Linked DNA regions of Caenorhabditis elegans. The protein of the gene in region 2 interacts with the protein of the main gene of each other region in a pairwise test. Each region holds a gene or a part of one and is shown on either strand. Other genes may lie near its edges.

The links.
Region 1: the proteins of F40F8.5 (region 2) and nab-1 interact in a two-hybrid assay, tested with the Caenorhabditis elegans proteins (one large-scale study listed by BioGRID).
Region 3: the proteins of F40F8.5 (region 2) and mex-3 interact in a two-hybrid assay, tested with the Caenorhabditis elegans proteins (one large-scale study listed by BioGRID).

What each region holds. Positions count from the first base shown.
Region 1 is NC_003279.8:4,227,880-4,235,578, reverse strand, and holds the start of nab-1 (Neurabin-1), read right to left. Parts: upstream 6,003-7,699; 5' UTR 5,911-6,002; intron 5,694-5,910; exon of another isoform or gene 5,692-5,693; 5' UTR 5,665-5,691; coding exon 5,572-5,664; intron 4,816-5,571; coding exon 4,720-4,815; coding exon of another isoform or gene 4,636-4,719; exon of another isoform or gene 4,437-4,635; coding exon 4,354-4,436; intron 4,006-4,353; coding exon 3,817-4,005; intron 3,084-3,816; coding exon 2,876-3,083; intron 2,508-2,875; coding exon 2,345-2,507; intron 2,099-2,344; coding exon 1,892-2,098; intron 1,694-1,891; coding exon 1,056-1,693; intron 867-1,055; coding exon 519-866; intron 60-518; coding exon 1-59.
Region 2 is NC_003280.10:11,132,344-11,136,623, forward strand, and holds F40F8.5 (Filaggrin-like), read right to left. Parts: upstream 2,586-4,280; 5' UTR 2,585-2,585; coding exon 2,314-2,584; intron 2,252-2,313; coding exon 1,994-2,251; intron 1,947-1,993; coding exon 1,881-1,946; intron 1,770-1,880; coding exon 1,638-1,769; intron 1,495-1,637; coding exon 1,360-1,494; intron 1,314-1,359; coding exon 1,182-1,313; intron 1,133-1,181; coding exon 1,010-1,132; intron 963-1,009; coding exon 860-962; intron 809-859; coding exon 682-808; 3' UTR 509-681; downstream 1-508. Other genes in the region: F40F8.11 (NADAR domain-containing protein), read right to left, coding at 32-94, 143-241.
Region 3 is NC_003279.8:125,489-133,286, reverse strand, and holds the start of mex-3 (K Homology domain-containing protein), read right to left. Parts: upstream 6,003-7,798; 5' UTR 5,991-6,002; coding exon 5,951-5,990; intron 5,903-5,950; coding exon 5,851-5,902; intron 4,591-5,850; coding exon 4,391-4,590; intron 4,343-4,390; coding exon 4,163-4,342; intron 4,121-4,162; coding exon of another isoform or gene 4,112-4,120; coding exon 3,954-4,111; intron 1,185-3,953; coding exon 734-1,184; intron 676-733; coding exon 594-675; intron 1-593.

The DNA.
Region 1 (7,699 bases), on a different chromosome or scaffold from region 2:
ATTCCTTTTACTTTCTTTTTAATTAGAGAACGATCCGAGTGATTTTGAATTCCCATTGCCTAAAAAATATTGATTCAGATAAACAATTTCAAGTGGTGTGATTTCCCAAAATTGTGGAAAATTTGAAAAAGTTGACGTCACATAAGGTTTATAGAATGCACCTATTTTAAGCCTTGTATATTCTAGGCACTTTTCAGGTAGGCAGACTGTGCCTACTAGACCTGAAGGGTTTTTGGGTTTGGCACAAGAAACTGAAAAATCAAAAACAAAAGTTCAGTCTCTCTTGCTCGAAAAGTGACATTTCTGTTGTTTTTATGAAATAGAGTGTAACATAAATATTGAATTCATTTCAGAATTTTCAGGAATCTTTTTCTCGGTTTTACCCAAAAAACCGAAAAGTTTAAAAAATTTTAGCACCTTGGTGCCTACGAAATAGTTTAACTTTTCGTTATGTAATTGCAGCGTTTTTTTTTTCTACCCGAGTTTTCTTGCGCCGGGATCGTATACATCTTACTCACCTTCAGTTTATTTCCGTCGAGCTCGAGGAACTTGGCTCCATCGATCTTATTAATGGTGAACTCTGGCACATATTTGTCCAAGCCCATTGAAACGAGCAACTGACAAACATCGTCCACCGTCCAATGAAGAGCTTGAAGACCAACTGGTTGACACGTGGCACGCCAGAACTCGTTTTCGGCGTACTTCTTTCGGAGTGGGAACAGAAGTTTGCGATGCGTCAATTTATGTGGAAGAGCCGGAGATGCTGGCTCGGAGATACGAGGGACTGGCGACTCGCATGGTGATGAGTACTCTTCTGTCCAACTACTTCCAACTGATACTTCCGCATCTTTTTTGGTTGATGGAGTCTGGAAATGAAAATGGGTGTTATAATTAGTTTCTTACTTGGGCTTAGGCTTAGTCTTAGTCTTAGGCTTAGGCGTAGGCTTAGGCTTAGGCATAGGGCCTACGCTCAAGCTTAATTTTAGGCATTATGTGAAAACTGTTTTAGAATGAAGTTTGAAGATGAATGTTCTTTCATATTTTCTCCAACTTACAATAGTCTCCAAATTAACCATAACAGCCTTATCCTCGTGAGGAAGCTCTCCACCTGGTCTATACGCCATTCCTTCATTCCTCTTCTCAACTTTCTCCTTTAACTTCTCTCTCAACTCGATAAGCTCAAGATTCTGAATAGAATGCCTTCTCTCTTCAGCTTCTTCCAATTTCGATTCCAACTCATCAATTCGTTCTTTCAATTGACGAACTAATGATGCATAATGTACATCCTTATCTCTCAATTGTTCCACATGATTCTCTTCTCGATTCAACAACTCTTTTTCTCTTTCCTGATAGTTTTTAATCATATAATTTGCCTGCTCATTCTGCTTTTCCAGTTGATCACAATGTGATTTCGTTGAGCTCAACACTTCATGATATTGCTCTGCTTTCTTATGAGTAACATCAAGTTCCAGTTCAAGAGCAGCAATCTTCGAACGAATCTCAATTTCTTCTTTTGTGATCATTGAAGTTGTCGGACGATCCTGTTCAATTGGTAGCTGTGGCATTTGAGATGGTGGTGGTGGCGGCTCTTCGATATCGTCTTCCTCGTCTCCCATCATTCTCATTCTGTCGTGTTCAAGACTTTGTTGAATTAGCTGAGCAACTTCGGATTCTTCAAGGTTTTGTTCGCGACCTGCAATACATTTTTTTTAAATTGGAAGATAACTGGTAAACATAATTGAAATATTTTCTAGATGCTTTTTTTCTCTACGCTTGCGCGGAATATGGTGTATTGAGTCGCTGTTGCACACAAAAATATTTGTGTTATTTCACGGAGTCATCAATGCAATATATCATACGCGTTCGGCACAATACTCCAAAAAAAACCAACCAATTGTGAAAGTGACTCGATTGCTGGTGGATCTCAACGTGTTTGCAGCATACAACTGTGAGACACCGACCAAACTCTTTCCATCGACTGAAACAATTTGATCGCAGACACGAATTCGTCCATCTCGATGAACAGCTCCGCCAGGTGTGATGCTCTTTACAAAGATTCCCAGCTTTTCAAGACCCGAGTCTGCACCAACACCCATACCTGAAACATAACGAATTTATCCGAAAACCGTAGGCAGGCAGAAAGCATATAATTTTTTCCTAAACAGTAGCTTCAGGTTGACATTCCTTCAAGTTTAATTAAGCGCTTATATCTCGGTTATCTTTGGTTATGCCGAGAAAAGAAAGTTTCCAACTATAAAAATGAAACAGAAACTGTGAGCAACATCCGATTGTAACCGAGATACAAGGCTTCTAAGTTATGGTAAGCCACAATACAATCACTAACCAATAATAGAGACTCCAAGTCCCTCGGCACCCTTTTCCAAATCAACTTCAAACAAATCCATTCTTTCAAGTCGTCTCTCCAATTCATATTCAGCACAACTTGCCACCGGATCAATGTCTTCATTCTTGCGATCGTAGTCTTCAACGGAAAACGCCGAGAAGACCTGAAAGTGAAAACGTTTAGATATTATGCAAATGAAGATCGCTTTCTCTTTCTCTTTTTCTCTTGTTCCTCATCTCTTATCATATCAATAAGGTGACCTAATTCGAGATTGTATAGATATATCTATTAATGAATTAATATCACCTTGCCACATATATGTAAACAAAAGGAAATGTTAGGTTGTGGTGGTCAAGTTTCAGTGAATGCATGTTTGCTCTATTGATAGTTTCAAAAAGATTTTTCTCGGCCACGTTTCAATCTGTCTTGGCCTAGAAAAAGTATAAAATTATTTTGAACATCATACATTCCATAGAGCAAACTTGCAACAACAAAGAAACATGAGTGAATGGGAAAAGTGGGTGATCTTACCGGAATAGGTGCAGTGCTGAACGAGACCTTTCGATTCGTTAAATCCACGTCAGGCCTCTCTGGACTCAGACCCCTCCGTGTTTCCATGAGTCCTCTGTTTTCTGATGTTGTTTCAAGTTCTGTTTCCTTTGGTGTTTTGACGACGGCGTATGTCGTGTGCTTCACTCCATTCGTCGTTGGTGAGATTCCATCGTTTTCCTCGCCAAAACTGAAAAAAAAGTTTTGATCGAAGAAATTTGATTATTTATATTAACAGCAACTCATTTTCATGAAATGATTGGTTTTTTCAGGTGCCTGCATATATTAAATTTACTAAAAAAACAATCTGGCGCAAATCGTATCAAATTTTTAAATTTTAAAAAATGTGAATGTCCGATAAAAAATCGGCGTTCTAAAAATATATCTAGACACACTAAATGAATTTTTATCACAAACACAGTGCGGTTTTTTAAAAACTTAAGGTTACGATAGATCCTTCATAAGCTTGCCAACAATGGGCTTGAAAAGGGTTTTTACGGTTCCAACGAGCCGATATGTGAGAAAACTCGGCCACGCTATTTTAGCAATTTCTGTAATCTTAATAGATTTTTCAAATTGAAAAATTCGAAAATTTCAAGATATTATGTGCCATCACTATTCTGAAAGATCCAAAGAAGACCGTGTTCCTGAATGAATCAAAAATTTTACTTTTAGTTTTGTACTTTGGAAAAGTCACAAGGATCTTTTTTTTAGCAAATTCAAAAAAAATCCCGAATGAGAAATCTAAGAAAATATGCTGGCCAAGTTTCTGGTTTTTTCTAGGCCACATTTTTTTTCGAAAAAACACAAATATTTGTTAGTCGCAACTAAAATACTTCAGCGCAAGAAAAAAAACTATTATAGAGAAAAATAAAGAAACTCATGCGAGAAAGTAAGAAAAATAAAAGAAGCGAAACACATACGGTTTGCCATTTCCTTCGAATTGCCTCCGATATATTGATCCATTTCTCCAATAGGGTTCAAATGAATTCATATTAATATTATTATTATTGTTGTTGGTTTGAAGTCCTCCATATTGCGACGTGGCAACCGTATTTTCGAACGAATACTGCTGTGTGGAATCGGAATATGATGACGGAAGAGTTGATGATCTGAATTGGAAAAAGAAAAGGCATGCGAAGCTGATAATGAAGCAAAGAAGAATGTTAGTTGAAATTAAAGAAAAAACAGAGATTTTGGTTTTTTTTTCGATTTGAAAATTCAAAAAAGTTCCTTTAAAAAAATTCTCAACTAATTTATCTGAATTTCGCACAGTTTCCTAGAATTTCTGAAATCTAGTTGCAGGCGACTTTTTGTAACTACCAAAAAAAATTAAAATACTTTGGCCCGCGAACCGAATGGAGAAAATTGCGATTGATCAAAAAAAATTACAGTTACATTTTTTTGAGAATTAAAAAAAAGTTATGGTATGGTAACAAATCCTTAAAAAAACAACTCACTTATTTTGTATAAACCTAGACGTTGCCGGCGATGATTGGATCCGATCGAGATCCGCGGCCAAATCAGAGAAATTTCGTTCGACCTGGAAAAGTTTTCGAGTTTTCGATTATGTGTTATATGCGTGTGTGTCTGATGGGGGAAAGGAGTGTGTGTGTGATATGAGTAAATGCCATTATTTTTGAATCTATTATCGATGAGCGGATTAGTCAACCGAACAGTATAACAGAGACGGGGGTGTTGGAGACACAAAACATTGACTAACTGACACAGTCTTTGAATTTTTAAATTCCATTTCTTTTTCCAGAAAACAGAAAGAGAAGGAGAGAGAGAGAAAGAGAGCCATGTGATTGTTTGATCACACATACCTGTGACATCGGACTCGGCGGACATTGAGATGGAGGTTTTGGGGGTAATGGAGGTGGTGGTTGACGTTGAAGACGTGGAGAGTAGAATGATGGAACCTAGAAACATTATTTTTTAATTGACACTACAGTAGTCTGCTTGCCCAATTTAGAGTTTGTTTTGGAAAAAGCGTGGCGGGCATCTGATGTTTGAAAAAGTTAGCTTACTATTAGCTCAGAAGTTGGCAAAATTTGGGCAAGACTTTGAAAATACTGGGTTTAAGCTGTGTTTAACAAAACTTGAGTTATAAATATGGTAGAAGTCTAAATCAAGTCGACAGTGTTTCCAACTTTTGACCCAAATTAATAATTGTTGAGCAAAACTTGATCATAGGGAAACCTCTTTTTCAGACATTTTTCAGACGTGACGTCAAATTTCTTAAACGTGAGGCTGTGAAGTGATACAGAAACTGGTAGTCAGAGTATCTCTTTTCCGAATGATCTCCGAAAACTTCGCCAAATTTAGACGCAGACTTTTCAGCTGGTGATCTAAAGAGCGGGGACGTCATACTTTTTCACTTTTCCTGTGAGCAAAATTCCAGCAATTTTCATAGATCAAATCAAGAGAGGGGACTTATTCTTTGAAGGCCTAAGTGAAGAATCTACTAGCAGGCAAAACTTGTTCATAGGGAGCTACAGATTTGATCTATATAGCCAGGAAAATCATTTTGCGAAAAATTGCATAAAAATTCTGGAATATATGCTCTAATCCACAATTTAGTGAGTTTTTTCAAGAAAAATAAATAACCGTAATGCAAAATAGCAAAATGATTTCAAAATTCGGAAACCAATTATTATCATCCAAAAAAAACTCACGTCTTGCTGTCTCTCAAGCTGCTCAAAAAGAGCCTTTGTATGTGAGAATCGAGCTCTTGCGTCGTCTGACAGCAGCTCGGAAGCCGTTGTCATCTCGGCTGTTTGGATTGAATTAGGCAGCTGTAAAATTGAATTTTTCAAAAGGTGGAAAGGTTGGGGAGCGGATATAATTCGTATCAGTTTAGGGGAACTGAGGAGCGAACGGGCGGTACGGGAAAGGGTGTCAATATCCGAGGATATTGCATAACCTTAACAATAAAGGACCGTTTTGCGCGCATGTCTTCTCCGGTTGGAATGACCTGAAATGATATTCCCCCGTGAGATTTGTCTGCGACTCACCGTCTCGCACACTATTTTGTTATCAGCAGCGGTGCGCACGACGCATGCACCGCCCACTTGCTGTTGTTGTTGTCCCGGCGACGTCTTCTTTTCTGAAGAGATTTTCAATTTCAGAATTGATTAGAATATTTCCGAGGCTTGGAGAAAAGAAGAAGAAGAGGAATGACAGAAGGATTTACGGGAAAGTGAAAATATCTATTTATTCATAATTATATTCTTTTTCGTCTCCCGGGTGATAACTGTGATAAGGATCAGGTTTTTGGGCACCGGACGGGGTGGTTGGATGAGGACTAATTGGATTGCGTTCATTTGTGTGAAGAAGGAAAAGCGAAATTCGGATTCAGAGCGGAGGCAAGAGGAAAGTGGAAGAAAAAAGGAGATTAAAAGGGAAAAGGTGCCAAAAAGTATAGAGAGTCTAGACTCGATATAATCAAATCAATTATTGAATTAGAATTGTCGCAAAAATCAGAAATTTCGCAAATAATTCTGGGGATAAAAATTTAAAGTTAGATCACAGATACGAGGTGTTCCTAGACGTAGGAAGGCACCTCTTATTCGCCTTTCTACTCGCCCTATCTGAACCGCACAGCCGAACCATTTTTGAATTCAATTATCAATTCGCCATATTTTACGGTACATCAGTGCAAATGCGCTCTACATTGATCCAAAAAATTAGTATTTTTGAATACTTTTTTTGAAGTCACGAAATTGGACCACCGATTTTTTGGCCCAAAAAATTTAACCAAAAAAAAATAAGCTCAAACTTCAGGGTATCAGATAGGCAAATTTGACCGTGAGGGTGTCGGCCAATAAGGTTTGATGTTTGAATTTATTTTTCAACTAAATCTTATTTTGAAATATTAGGAAAACAAAATGTTCTACATATCCTTAAAATCCAAAAAAAAATCAGAGATGAAGGAAAGTATGTTTTTGATGAAAAATTCTCAAACACCCGACATTCATCAATCATCACAGAACGGGGGCTCTCAATCTTTGTTTTTTTCCTCACTTTTCTTTTCACATATTTATTTTTACAGATATAAAATTAAAAGTGTCCATTCTAAGAAAAGATTTTTTAGAATGAATGAAGGAAATAATGAGAAATGAGGATGGAATTGAGCATGTAAACATGACGACGAGGGAGGCTATAGATATATTTACGGACTGGCAAAAAATTGGAAAAATATTTACTTGGAGCCAGAAGCTTTTGGGAAATGAGTGTGAAAAATATGGAAAAATCTGGAACAAATAGCAATACTTTTCGAGTTTTCTTTCAGCATTCTAGATAAGTTTGCAAATAAAAAACCCAGCTTCTATACTGGAGGGTGTTCTTAAATTGACGAAGGTTGCTGAAATTGGCTGAATTTAAATTTTCCGAGCGCAAATTGTTTCAGGTGGGAATATATTTTCAAGCCTTTTTTATTGCTTTGGCTACTATTGATTTGAGTACTACATTTTCAGTTTAAAAAAAACTGTCAAAAAAATTCTGCAAAAATCAATTTTGGAATTTAAAATCTCTAAACTTGCAAAAAATATGCTGAAAAAAATTTTTAAAATTCAAACTCTGATTTTTTTCAAGTTCCAATAAACTTTGAACTTTTAAGAATAAGAAATGTCAAGAAACTGACGATGTCTACAAAAATAAACGAGCCGGAATGAAAGTGCGCAACGGGCTGGAAGCCAGTGGAAAACATCCGGAGAAAATATAACAAAAATTGTGTGGCAACCATTAAAAAAATAGAAAGAAAACTAAGTAAAGAAACGTTGCAAAAAAATGGGGGTACAGTTA
Region 2 (4,280 bases):
CAAAATATTGGTAAAATATTAAAATATTCACCTGGGCAGAAGATGAGAAAAAGTTTGGTGTCCCACTGAGTGATGGATAAACTGGATTATACTGCTGAAAATTCAAATAATAGAAATTGTTTTTCGGAAGATTAATTAAAACCTCTTGAGATTGGGCCGATGGAGCCCAAGAGTCATTTCCAGAACTCTGCCCGTGGCTGTAATAGTTGTTATTCCAGGGATATGAACCCGAATATGCCATTTTATACAATTCACTAAAATTTTTAGTAAATTTATCGGTTTTATAATTTATTTCTCGCTAAAAAACAAAGTAAATTCACAAAATAAAATGGAGAAAACCGCTGAATGTTCGAAAATAAAAATAAGAATTATTTAGCAATGGGGCGCGATTGCAGTGTTCCAAAACCGGGGAAGTTCAAATCTATTTATTTGGAATTTCGAGTTAATTTGATGTGATCTATTTATTTATTGTTATAACCGATTATTAATATCCTTCAAAAATATACAGAAATTAAAAATTTTATTCAATTATTCAATTCCACACCGAAACACAAACACAAAGTTTTGAAGCATTTAGTAGGTAAGCATATAGACACGAATAATGCTCACAGATTGTGCACAAATTTAGCTATTTTGTTCTTTCTACAAGAAATTCGAATGAAATTATTCATTTCCATATGGTTACAGCTTTCCGTAGCACTTGGATACTTGAGTCAAATATTCCGAGTATTTCTTGGCGCGGAGCTTCTGAAGAGCAAGAATATCGTCCTGTTGTTTTCCCTTTGGAAGATCTTCGTCTGGTAAACAGCTGAAAAGGAAGCCAATTGTGAGAAAGAAAGAAGAAACCAGAAATAATTACATATTTTCGCGTTCACAATGCTTTGTGAACTTTGAGCTCATCGCGGAGAGCTGATCATGGCCAGCTGTAGAGCAGACAGTACGGCGGGAGCGAGAAGCAATCACTGAAATTTGGCTCTTAAATTTGATAAATTAATGAAAAATGTATTACCATGTCGCCTCTTGTGATTGTGTCCAGTATGGTCAACATTTGGGTCATTTGGATCATGATCATCAGATCTACGACGACGATGATTGTGTCCAGTGTGGTCGATGGTAGTGTCACTCGGGTCATCTGAAATTAATTTACTTTGTCGACGAACACCTACACCACAATGGCTCACCATCCTGATCTCTCCTACGTCTATGATTATGTCCAGTGTGATCAACATTCGGATCATTCGGATCATGATCCTCTGATCTACGACGACGGTGGTTATGCCCGGTGTGATCAATGGTAGTGTCACTTGGGTCATCTAAAAATAAGAATTTTTTAAGGTGAAGTTCTCATTCAGCACCAACCATCATGGTTTCTCTTGCGTCTATGGTGGTTATGCCCAATGTGATCTACATTTGGATCGTTTGGGTCATGATCATCAGATCTGCGACGGCGGTGGTTATGACCGGTGTGATCAATGGTAGTGTCACTTGGGTCATCTGAAAATCCACAGAATAATAAATCGTAGCTTGTCAAATGCTAAAGGACTTAAAAAACTATCTAACAGGAAATCAAGGTTAAGACTGCAGGTAAGGGTAGATGGAAATTCAAATTTTCGAGGTGGAGGTACAGAAAGCCTTACCATCATGGTTTCTCTTGCGTCTATGATTATGCCCTGTGTGATCTACATTGGGATCGTTTGGATCATGATCATCCGATCTACGACGGCGGTGATTGTGTCCAGTGTGGTCGATGGTTGTGTCAGTCGGATCATCTGAAAATAGATTTTGTTTAGGTATCGAAATTTTTGTTAACGAAGTCTTGCTCTGACTTAGTATGAACTATGATGCTCTTGGCATTGCCTGATCTTTAAAAATTTCCTTACCATCTTGGTTTCTCTTGCGTCTATGATTGTGTCTAGTGTGGTCGATGGTAGTGTCACTTGGGTCATCTGTAACTGAACAGGTTGAACTTCAATAAATAATAAAAATCTTTTACCATCGATACTTCTCTTTACTCTATGGTTATGGCCAGTATGATCAACATTAGGATCATTCGGATCGTGATCTCCATTCCTTCGGACTCTTCCATGATGATCAACATGTGTTCCGTGCTTCTTACGATCCATATTTTCCCGATGCTTCATATCATTGCCATGATGACCCTCATGATTGTGATGTCTTCTTCTTCTTGCATGATCATTAGTGTCCTCTTGATCCTCAGTAGGTTCTCCCATGTCACCATCGAGAACTGTTCCTGAAAAAATGACAGATTATTTTTTTGTTGGTTTTTTTATGCCTGAAATACTAAAAACTAACTCTTCGGCCTGCTCTTCTCCTCGACATACTTTCTGCAAGCAGTCACAGCCTCCTTATACTCATTGGAAACCTTTTGGAAGTCCTTCCAGCTCTTTTCTAGCTCCTCCTTGGTCTCGCAGACAGCTTGCGAAGTTTTTTGTTCGTGGCATTCTCGTTCCAGCTGCTTCTCTCGTTTGTTGGTAGCCATACGGAGAATTGTATCAGGGGAGCATTCAAATGCGATGGTTGAGATGACCAGTAAACTGGCCAATAAGGAGATCCGAACAATCATCCTAAAATGGAATGTCTTCAATTGAGTTGCAAGTTTAAGAGCTTATATCTACACCAGGGGAGGCAATTGCCGTTTGCAAATTTTTTGCCGACAAATTTGGTAAATCGGCAAATGGCGAATTGCCGATTTGCCGGAAAATTTCAACTCCTGCAAATTGCCGAATTGTCTTTTGCCGGATATCAGATTTGCCGGAAACACTTAAAACACGTACAATTTTGCCGATTGAAATTGAAATTCTGAAATTTTCAAAAAAAAAGTCCAAAACCCAAATTTGCCGAAAATATTGGGCAATTGCCGTTTTTCCGACAAATTCGACAAATCGGCATTTTATCGGCTTGCCGATTTGCCGGAAATTTCAATTCCGGCAATTCGCCGCCTACCTCTGATCTACACATATTTAAAGTTTAGTCAAAATGATTGGGAACTGAAAAAAAAAAATATAGAAGGTTTATTCAATCCCAGAGAGTACTGATTTTGTTAAAAATTGGGCAACTTCAAACATAAACAAGCTTATCAACTGATAGAAAACGTTTTTTGATAAACGATCAAAAAGGGCTGGTCAAACATTTTTGATTGATTTGAGAAACTCTAGCAAGTAACAGTAGTAAAAAAAGTAATTGAAAACAAATTTCGGCTGTTGGACACATGCGAGCATGCTTTTATTGCCCACCGGAAGAGCCCAGTAGTGGTTTTCAAGTTTTTTTCTTCATGAGAAATGAATGGGGGGGGGGGTATGAAGGAGTTAATTGATATTTTCAGGTCTAGAAGATTTAGGGAAAATAAAAAATAAATGAAATATAATTAGAATGATTCAAGTGTACTAGAATAATCTAAACTCGAAAAATAAGAAATTCCTATCTCGAATGCACTTTTTAAACGGCCTGAAAACCTGACAAGATATTGTCGGAAAATGACAGTTGGCACAATTTCGTGGAATGATGTAATTCAAAAGAGCAAAATGACATCGAAATTCGATTTTGATTGGCTCTCGAAAAACCCAAGACACAAGTGCTCAATCAATCAAAATCTGGCTCAATAGATCTTCTTCTTTTCTCGTGTAATTCAGTATTGCGGGAAAAAAAAGAGGAAGAGAGGTAGTTTGTTTTGGTTTTCGTTTGGACCAATTTGCTTGAGTTGTCAGGTCGAATCAACGGGAAAGAAGTGTGAGTTGACAATATTAAAGAGCAAAAGGGAGAAGCATATCAACAAGTAGATGAGTCAATAGCATGTGATGATCATGATAGACGAATTATTTTGGGAGAGAAGATAAGAAATTACAAGGTTCGAGGGTTTTCAAAAATTGATGGAAAGAATTCAAACAACAAACATTCTGGCAGATATTTTGGAAAATCTTGTTCTGAAAAAACCTGAATTTATTTTTAATGGAGTTGCAAATTAACAACTTTTCGGTCTCGTAAAAAAGTGGCCTAAATTTGAGAAACATTTTGCAGAATTTTCTTAGAAACTCCAGGATTTGGCTGAAGTAGTTTTATTTTAAGATTTTAAATTCTAAAAACGATAAAATATAAAATTTGAAACTGGGGTGGGCGGCAAACGATTTTTTTCTCGACAAATCGGTGATTTTTGCCGGAATTGAAAACTTCCGGCAAATCGGCAGACCGGCAAATTGCCGATTTGCCTAGTTTGCCGAAAAAACGGCAAATGCCAAAAATTTTCGGCAAATTGTGGTTTTTTA
Region 3 (7,798 bases), on a different chromosome or scaffold from region 2:
ATGATAAATTGTAAATTTCAGTAATTTTCCTTTAAATTTCAAGTTTTTCTCATAAAATAAATAAATTTAACTTTACCTCTTAAAATTGGAATTTCACCTTTTTCTCTCAAAAACGAGGTTTTGAAAAAATCAATTTTTTGCATGTGAAAAAAAACATATTTTTTTGAAGTTCAAAAGAAAATTACAATTTTTCTTTTATTGTTCAAAAAAAATTTTCTTTTTATAGATTTCTGACGGACAAAATCCAATTTTATTTAAAAATTTTTGAATTTCAAATGAAAATTATAATTTTTATAGAGAAAACTACGATTTTACTCTTTTTTATTTTCAAAAACGGATAGGTTCAAGATTTCGGAAAAATAATTTTTTAATGTGAAATTTTTTAAACATTCTGAGTTTTAGAAACGTTATTTTTTATTTAAAAAATTGATAAGAAGCCGTCAGGTTCCGAGTGGAAAACACGAAAACTTGTTTTTTTTTTAAATTTTTTAGCGGAAAATCAAATTTTCTTTCAAAAATTTAGAACTTTGAAGGAAAATTGCAATTTTTAGTTTTATTTCAAAAATTTATAAAATTCCTTCAAAAATATATACCCATTGGTTGGGGATTCCTCGCGTTTCTCCAATCCCATCGACGACCATGCGGACAGGGCATCGTACTTGCGGCTGAGAATTTCTGAAAAATCCTTATTTGTCATTTAAAATTCTTATTAAAATTCGCAAAAAAAGCTTACCGTTCTCCATAATATCATTAAGCGAGTTGTTGGTTCCCCAGTAGTCGTAGGTTGGCAGATCTTGTTTCGCCGATTGTCCTCCTCCCAACGATGGACGAGAAGACAGTCCAGTACCGGAAAGAGATTCCGGAGTCAACGAACTACGCATCGATGGGAAACTGCGGAGCAACGCGTCCAATCCCAACGAGCTCTCCATTCCGAATGGCGACGACGACATCTCCTTCTGATTGAACGGATTACTGTTGCCGAATGCTCTTCGATAGAACATCGATTGTTGCTGAGCCTCCTGCATTTGTTGTTGAGCCTGTTGCTGCTTCTGCACCATCAACGAGACACCGGCCAACTGTCCGGCAAAGTCATTGTCGGTTTCTGGAAGATTTCCGGTTCGCTGGAAGATGTGCGTCTCGATCTCCTTGCGGGCAGCCTCGACGTTATGTGGGAGGCCGGTCACCTGGAATAGAAATAGTTATATTTTTGTAGTTCTCGCAAAAAACTTATTTTATTACGGAAACACAAAATTCCAGAAATGTGTATTGCGCAACATATTTGACGCACTAAATATCTAGTAGCGAAAACTACAGTAATTCTTTCACTGATTACTGTAGCTCTGGATTTACGCGCTCGATTTTCGAATGAATTTCTTTTCGTTTCTTCATATTATTTTCTCATTTTCTTCTTAAAAATATTTTTCCATCGATAAATTTTTTAAATTCATTTCTTAGAGCACGTAACTCGAATTTCTTTTTGTTTCTTCATATTATTTTCTCATTTTCTGCTTAAAATTATTTTTCCATCGATAAATTATTTAAATTCATTTCGTAGAGCACGTAACTCAAAACAAGCGCTACAGTAGTCAATTTTATGAATTACTGTAGTTTTTGCTACAAGAGATTATGCGCGTCAAATATGTTGTGCAGTACACATTTTCAGAATTTTTTGTTTTCATTATAGGAAATATGCTTCCGAATTTTTGTGAATTTAAATAGTTTATGTTTTTTTTTTAATTTTTCAATAAATGTTATTTCCAATATTTTTCCCCAATTTTGTACGTTTTTCTCGGACTCCTTCGCGGAACTGTGTCATTGAGGCATAGATCACAATCTCTGATTATCGAGATGGATATCAAAACGACACGCGACCTCTGTCACTGTCTTGTGAGAACTTTTTCGGTGAGAAAATTAGAAGTTTTTGAACCAAAAATTGATTTTATAAGTATGGAAAATGCTCAATTTATCTGAAAATAAAACCTTTGAAAATTCAACAAAGATCTCAAGTGCACTATTTGAGGTATTTTTGAAATGTTCAAAACGAAACAATTCTATTACCAAACTAGTCGGACATTTTTCTATATTTCCATACCAATTATTCATTTGAGCCACGAACAAAAACGACAATTGGTCTTTTTAGAACGCATATAATATCCGAGGTGAAGCTTCTGTACCTTTCCCTCATATTCTCCCAAACATCATGTAATTCCTTCCCCGCCTGGCAAATCCATCACCTCCTTGTCTCGTCCAGGGTACCGGAGGCATTTGTGTCAAACGGACAACTAAATTGGGAGGAATAACGATGAGCGCACCGCACCGGGGCAAGATGTCATGTACTAGTGGGCCCGCACTGTCAACACATTCACAGTTCGTCCGGCGACCCAGAGTAGTGGGGGATGATAATTACCATTGTGAGGAAGGAGGAAAAAGGCCATGCGGATACGGTAATTTATGTCGCCACACACACACACACACACGCATCTATAGACACATACGGTCAAAACCGTCAATTACATAACCCTAATATGATCTGATTACTGTTCAAAAGTTCGGAAGCCTTCCTATAGAAACAACAACGACCTTTGTTCGTCATTTTGAAGTACCCCTGGTGCTGCCACAAAATGTTGCTCTCCCTGAGCCAACGGTGCAATAAAACCAAGCATATGTGCAATTTGGCGCCCGCCCCGGTCATTTAATTAATTGAGTCTCTTTGTCATCGCGATCCCCCCCCTTTTCTTCACCCTACTACCCTGTTAGATGGAATGAAAGAGTTGGTGCGTGTGTATGTGGACTCCCCATCGCGTGACTCTTGGCTCCAAAAACCCGGGCGGCCCCATCCATCGGTAATTCGACTAATCTACTGTGTGCTGGATGTTTCTCAAGGCGTCATTGAGCATCAAACTGAGATATCTCATCAACAATGATATTTTGCTGCCAAGAAGAAGAAGACGACATGCAACATTAATCGGTCCCGCGGGGGGAATTCTACCAAATTAAAAGATTCTAATCATCATCTCTCAGTGAAGACCCTAAACGGCTCCCGAGGAATTTTTAGCATTTCGGATGGAAGGAAACCGTTTAAAATTCACACCAAGAGGTCACAAGCCCTTCCGCTGCTCGTTTCGGCGCCCATGGTTGCTCTTTATTCTCTTTAGAATATCAATTCCGCACAAGTTTGATTGTTTTTGTTTGTTTGCCACAGCAGTGGCAGCCAATTCACAACTGTACGACCTCGAAAATCGCTCGAAACTCGGTGTCAGGAAGAAAACAAGAGACGGCCGAAAAGAATTGGGTATATCACACCAGACACTTACAAACACACATGTGTTTTCTGTCTCTGTCTAGGCATTAGGCTCCCCTTCTTGCAGTGACGAGGAAAAACAAATAATCGGAATGAAAGATTGACAATGGTAATGGGGACCTTAAAAATAGAAATTTGTAATGAACAACTTCTATGTAAAACTCGAGAGAAGTGTGTCGCAGAAATCAAATCCTGATGAGGTTTTCTAGAATCACGGTTATCGCTGAGACTTTCAGAATGATATATTTACAAACTTTGCTACAAAACAGCCGATTTTCTTATGAATTCTCCCCATTTTACAATTTTTCTAGATTACTTATATGTAAAAATCGAGGAAAATTGGAGTTGAAATCGGTTTTTATACAGAAATATTTCAGAAACCCCGCCGATTTTTAAATTTTGTTAATTTTCAGCAAAGCAACAAAAATTGGACCAATATTATGAAATAATAGCATGGTCTAATTATCTAACTTTTCTTAGTCATAAACTTGAATTTTTCAGTCAAAAGTAGATTTTCAGCACGATATATGCCATGGAAAAGCCGATTTTCAGTATTTTCTAAGCCGAAACTAGAAACTTCTCTGTTTTTGTTAAAAAGCATGAAATTGCTGAGAATTTTGCTCCAAAACTCTATGCTCTCCAACAAAATTACCTCAAAAACGGGCTCCCTTTCTCGGCTCGGCGTAATGATGTACGTGTGGGTGTCCTGTTGAATTCGCTTGATAGTCGCTCCTTTCGGTCCGACGACGAGTCCGACAACTCTTAACGGAACTCTGACATAGCTCGTGATCTGTCCAGGTGCATGGGCTCCTGGAACAACTGAACAAGGCGCTCAGGAACCGGCTGCCTACGGTCACCTACCTTGTGTATGTCTTCTCGACGCACGGATCTGTGTGAAGTGCTCGGCGGCGCAGTCGATCTCTCGTTTCGCCTCGTTCACGTCCTCCAGGCGTCCGGTGACCACGAAAATTGGATCTTCTCCGCGAACCGGTGTCTTGATGTAGGTGTTGGTCTTGGCGCGCAGTGCCTTAATTTTGCAGCCTGAAAATTTGTGGAAACTGTAGATTTGACTAAAAAGGCAATTTTTACCTTGACGACCAACAATCTCGGCGACATGCTCCGACGTCGGAACTTCCACGGACTCTGTGACATTTTGCACGCCTATCGACGTTCTGTAGTTGAGAAACTGCGCAATATCCTCCGGATCGCTGACTGGAGAGCACGAGGCAGTGTCCTCCTCGTAATACCAAGCCCCTGGCAATTTATAGGCGATTTGTTCTTCCTTCATTCTGAAAAATGGTTATGTTTGGGCGAAAATCGATTCAAAAATCGAAAAATAGAGGTTTTTCGGAATTTTTAAGGATATTTTCGATGAAAACCGCAGGTACCCATGTAGGAAGGGCAAATGGAGAAAAAGCGACAAAACGAGGCGCATATGATGAGAAAGACAGACGGGCAGCGGTACGCGCGCACAAATGGCAAAGCAGTACACGGACAAAGAGTGGGGCGGGTGGGTGACGACAGGCAACACCAACTGGTGTGTGTGTGTGAACGCGACAAAAATCCGAAAAATCCCGCCAAAAGAACCACCAAAAATTGAAAATTTTCGGCGCCGAAAAAATGAAAGAAAAAACAGAGAGAGTACGGTATCACTCATTTAACGTGTGTGAGATAGTGTGTAATTTTGGGCCGCCGTGTTCACGTACAATACGCGGAGGCGGGGCTTGGATATCGTAGTATTAAGTGGGAAATTAAATACAGTTTTTTTTTGTGTTTTTTCCAAGAAAAATGAAAAATCGAAAAAATTGTGTTTTCAGATATGAAAAATTGAAAATTTTTGTATATTTCAAAAAAATCGATTTTTCGAATGAATTACTTGAAATTTTGGTCATTTTTTAAGCAGTATAAACGAACAAATTTCGATTATTTTTGCAAAAAAAAACCGAAACTTTTTCCACAGCACCTTTGAAATTGACTCTGTTGAAAAAGGAAAAAAAATAGCGCATTTTTTCAAGTAATCTAGAAAAGAGGTTGCGATCAAGAACAAGGGTAATAAAAAGGAGGCAGGCGTGTAACAAAAAATTCGATCCTTTGAATTTTTGAGGAGGAAATCTTTTTTTAAAAAAGGAGAAAAAAATTTGGATTTTTAACTTTCTCACGAAAATTGAAGGGTGAGGCAAAAACTTAATTGCGGTTCGAGGTTGTTTCCAAGAAGACTTTTCCCCTCTTTTCCCTCTTTTCTCTCCCTATTCTCTTCTGTATGTTAAATATCCGACCCACTTAAAAAAAAGGAAGGCGAAATTTCGAGATATTCTGTTTGAATGGCAACACGTTTGCCGATTTTATACCAGTCATCCTTGAACATTCCGTCTATTCTCGCAAGGCCATTTGAGGCTTTTTTAGAAGCGGATTTTTAGAGATTTGGAGGATTTTCAGTGGGAACATTAATCAAAAAGTTCAAAAATCATCCGAAAATCACGAATTTTGAAAAGAAAATTGGATTTTTTTTCGTGTTTCTTAGACTGTTAGCTTATTTGCCGAAAACTCACGGTTTCCAAAATTCGGCGTCGTTCCACGTGTTATGCCCGTTTGAGAAGCCTTCTGGAAAAATTAAAAATTTCAAAAAAAAACTTCAAAAAAATTGCTCACCATTTCTCATAGAAAAAGGTCTAACGCTCACGACTGGCATTTTACCTGAAAATCTGCGATGTTTTGGGGTTAATAATTATGTGGTTGAAAAAAAAATTGATAAGCGGAGAAATTTGTCACCAAAAAAATATGGAATTAAAAAATTGCAATGGAAATCAGAGAGACAAAAATATACTACGGGTACACAAAATTATAAGAATGCGTATTGCGCAACATATTTGACGCACAAAATATCTCGTAGCGAAAAAACAGTAATTCTTTAAATGACTACTGTAGCGCTTGTGTCGATTTACGGGCTCGATTTACGAAATGAATTTTTTTGAATTGTCGTGTTTTCTTTTAATATTTTATCTGTTAATAAATAATTTAATTAAATCGGCATCAGTGCTACAAAAGTCATTTAAAGAGTTACTATAGTTTTCGCTACTAGATATTTTGCACGTCAAATATGTTGTGCAATACGCGTTTTGGGAAATTTGTATTCCTGTAATACAAAAACGACAAAAACGATCCGTCATAATCAGCGACCAAAGAAAAAAAGAAAAGACAGTGGGCTCCCAAAAGGGGGCGGGGACAGTTAGAGGTTCAGAGAAACCGATGGTGGGGGGCGGGTCTCTTTTGTTGTTGTCGTGCAACATTTTTCGTCCAGGGGAAGAAGAGTGAATAAGGAAGAAGAAATGCAAATTAAGGTGGTAGAAGGATGAGGATACGGTACTTTGGGACAGAAGAAACGAGAAAACAATGGAATTTAAAATGAGATTTTAGAAATGTGTAGATGTAAATGACATATTGAAACTGGTCATCTCGTTTTTTTTTGGCAACACTAGTTTCACTTTTAGGCCAATATTCAAGGGGCTACAGTACCCTTAAAGGTACATACTACTTCTCCCATAAAAAGCGGCGGAACGTCGAAAACAGGAGAGCGGTTGTTTTTTTGGAAATCCGATCTTCCGTATATTCCACGCCGAATCTGTTGGTGTCAACATTACAACAAAAACAATTTGTTTGCGTTTTATACGTTTTTTTTTTCGGTTTTTTTAGAGGCCCACCACGATTTACACAAAATTATGCACTCATAGTGCATCGACGAAAAGCAGTTTTTGAAGGGTTGTCGGTTTAAAATGTAATTTCCAAATAAGCAAGGTGCAGAGTGTCCAATAACTAGAAAATCTCGAAACTGTTTTTTTCCCGAAAAATCGCTAAATTTCATTTTAAAATTATCATGTTGAATCGATGAGAGCAGAATGTCGTGGAATTTCAAAATTTGGTTACAGAATGCGCCGTTATAAAGACAGATATTGGTCCTCTCATGGAAAAATCAAAAAAAAGTAATTTGAAAAAAATACCATCATGGTGCATCGAGAACAACTGAAATGAGAGTATTCGGCGGAAATTCCAAAGTTTCCAAAGAAGATTAAAGGTGCATGTAGGTCTCAAAAAACTTTTCCGAGAAGCAATTTTGAAATTTACTTCGAAAACGTTATAGTGCGTCGAGAATGAAACTATTTGGGTCTCGGAGTGATTTTTTTTCTGAAAATCGATAAAAACGTCATGGTGCATCGCAAAAATCGCTACCATTCTTACTCTAAAGTTATCGCCAAACAGCATTATGGTGCATCGAGAAGTTCGAAAATTCTGAAGACGTTAGAGTGAAGGGACACAAAATGAAAGACATTTGCATGTCCCACAATACGGTTAAAAAAATAAATATTAAAATTCAGCTTGAAATTTTCCACCATTAATTTTTCGAAAAGGCTCAAAATGTAACCCAAAATTATCATGGTGCATCGACAAGAACGGAACATCATGGTAAGCAGGCGCGGTTTCAGTGCCTACCTGAACCCTGCC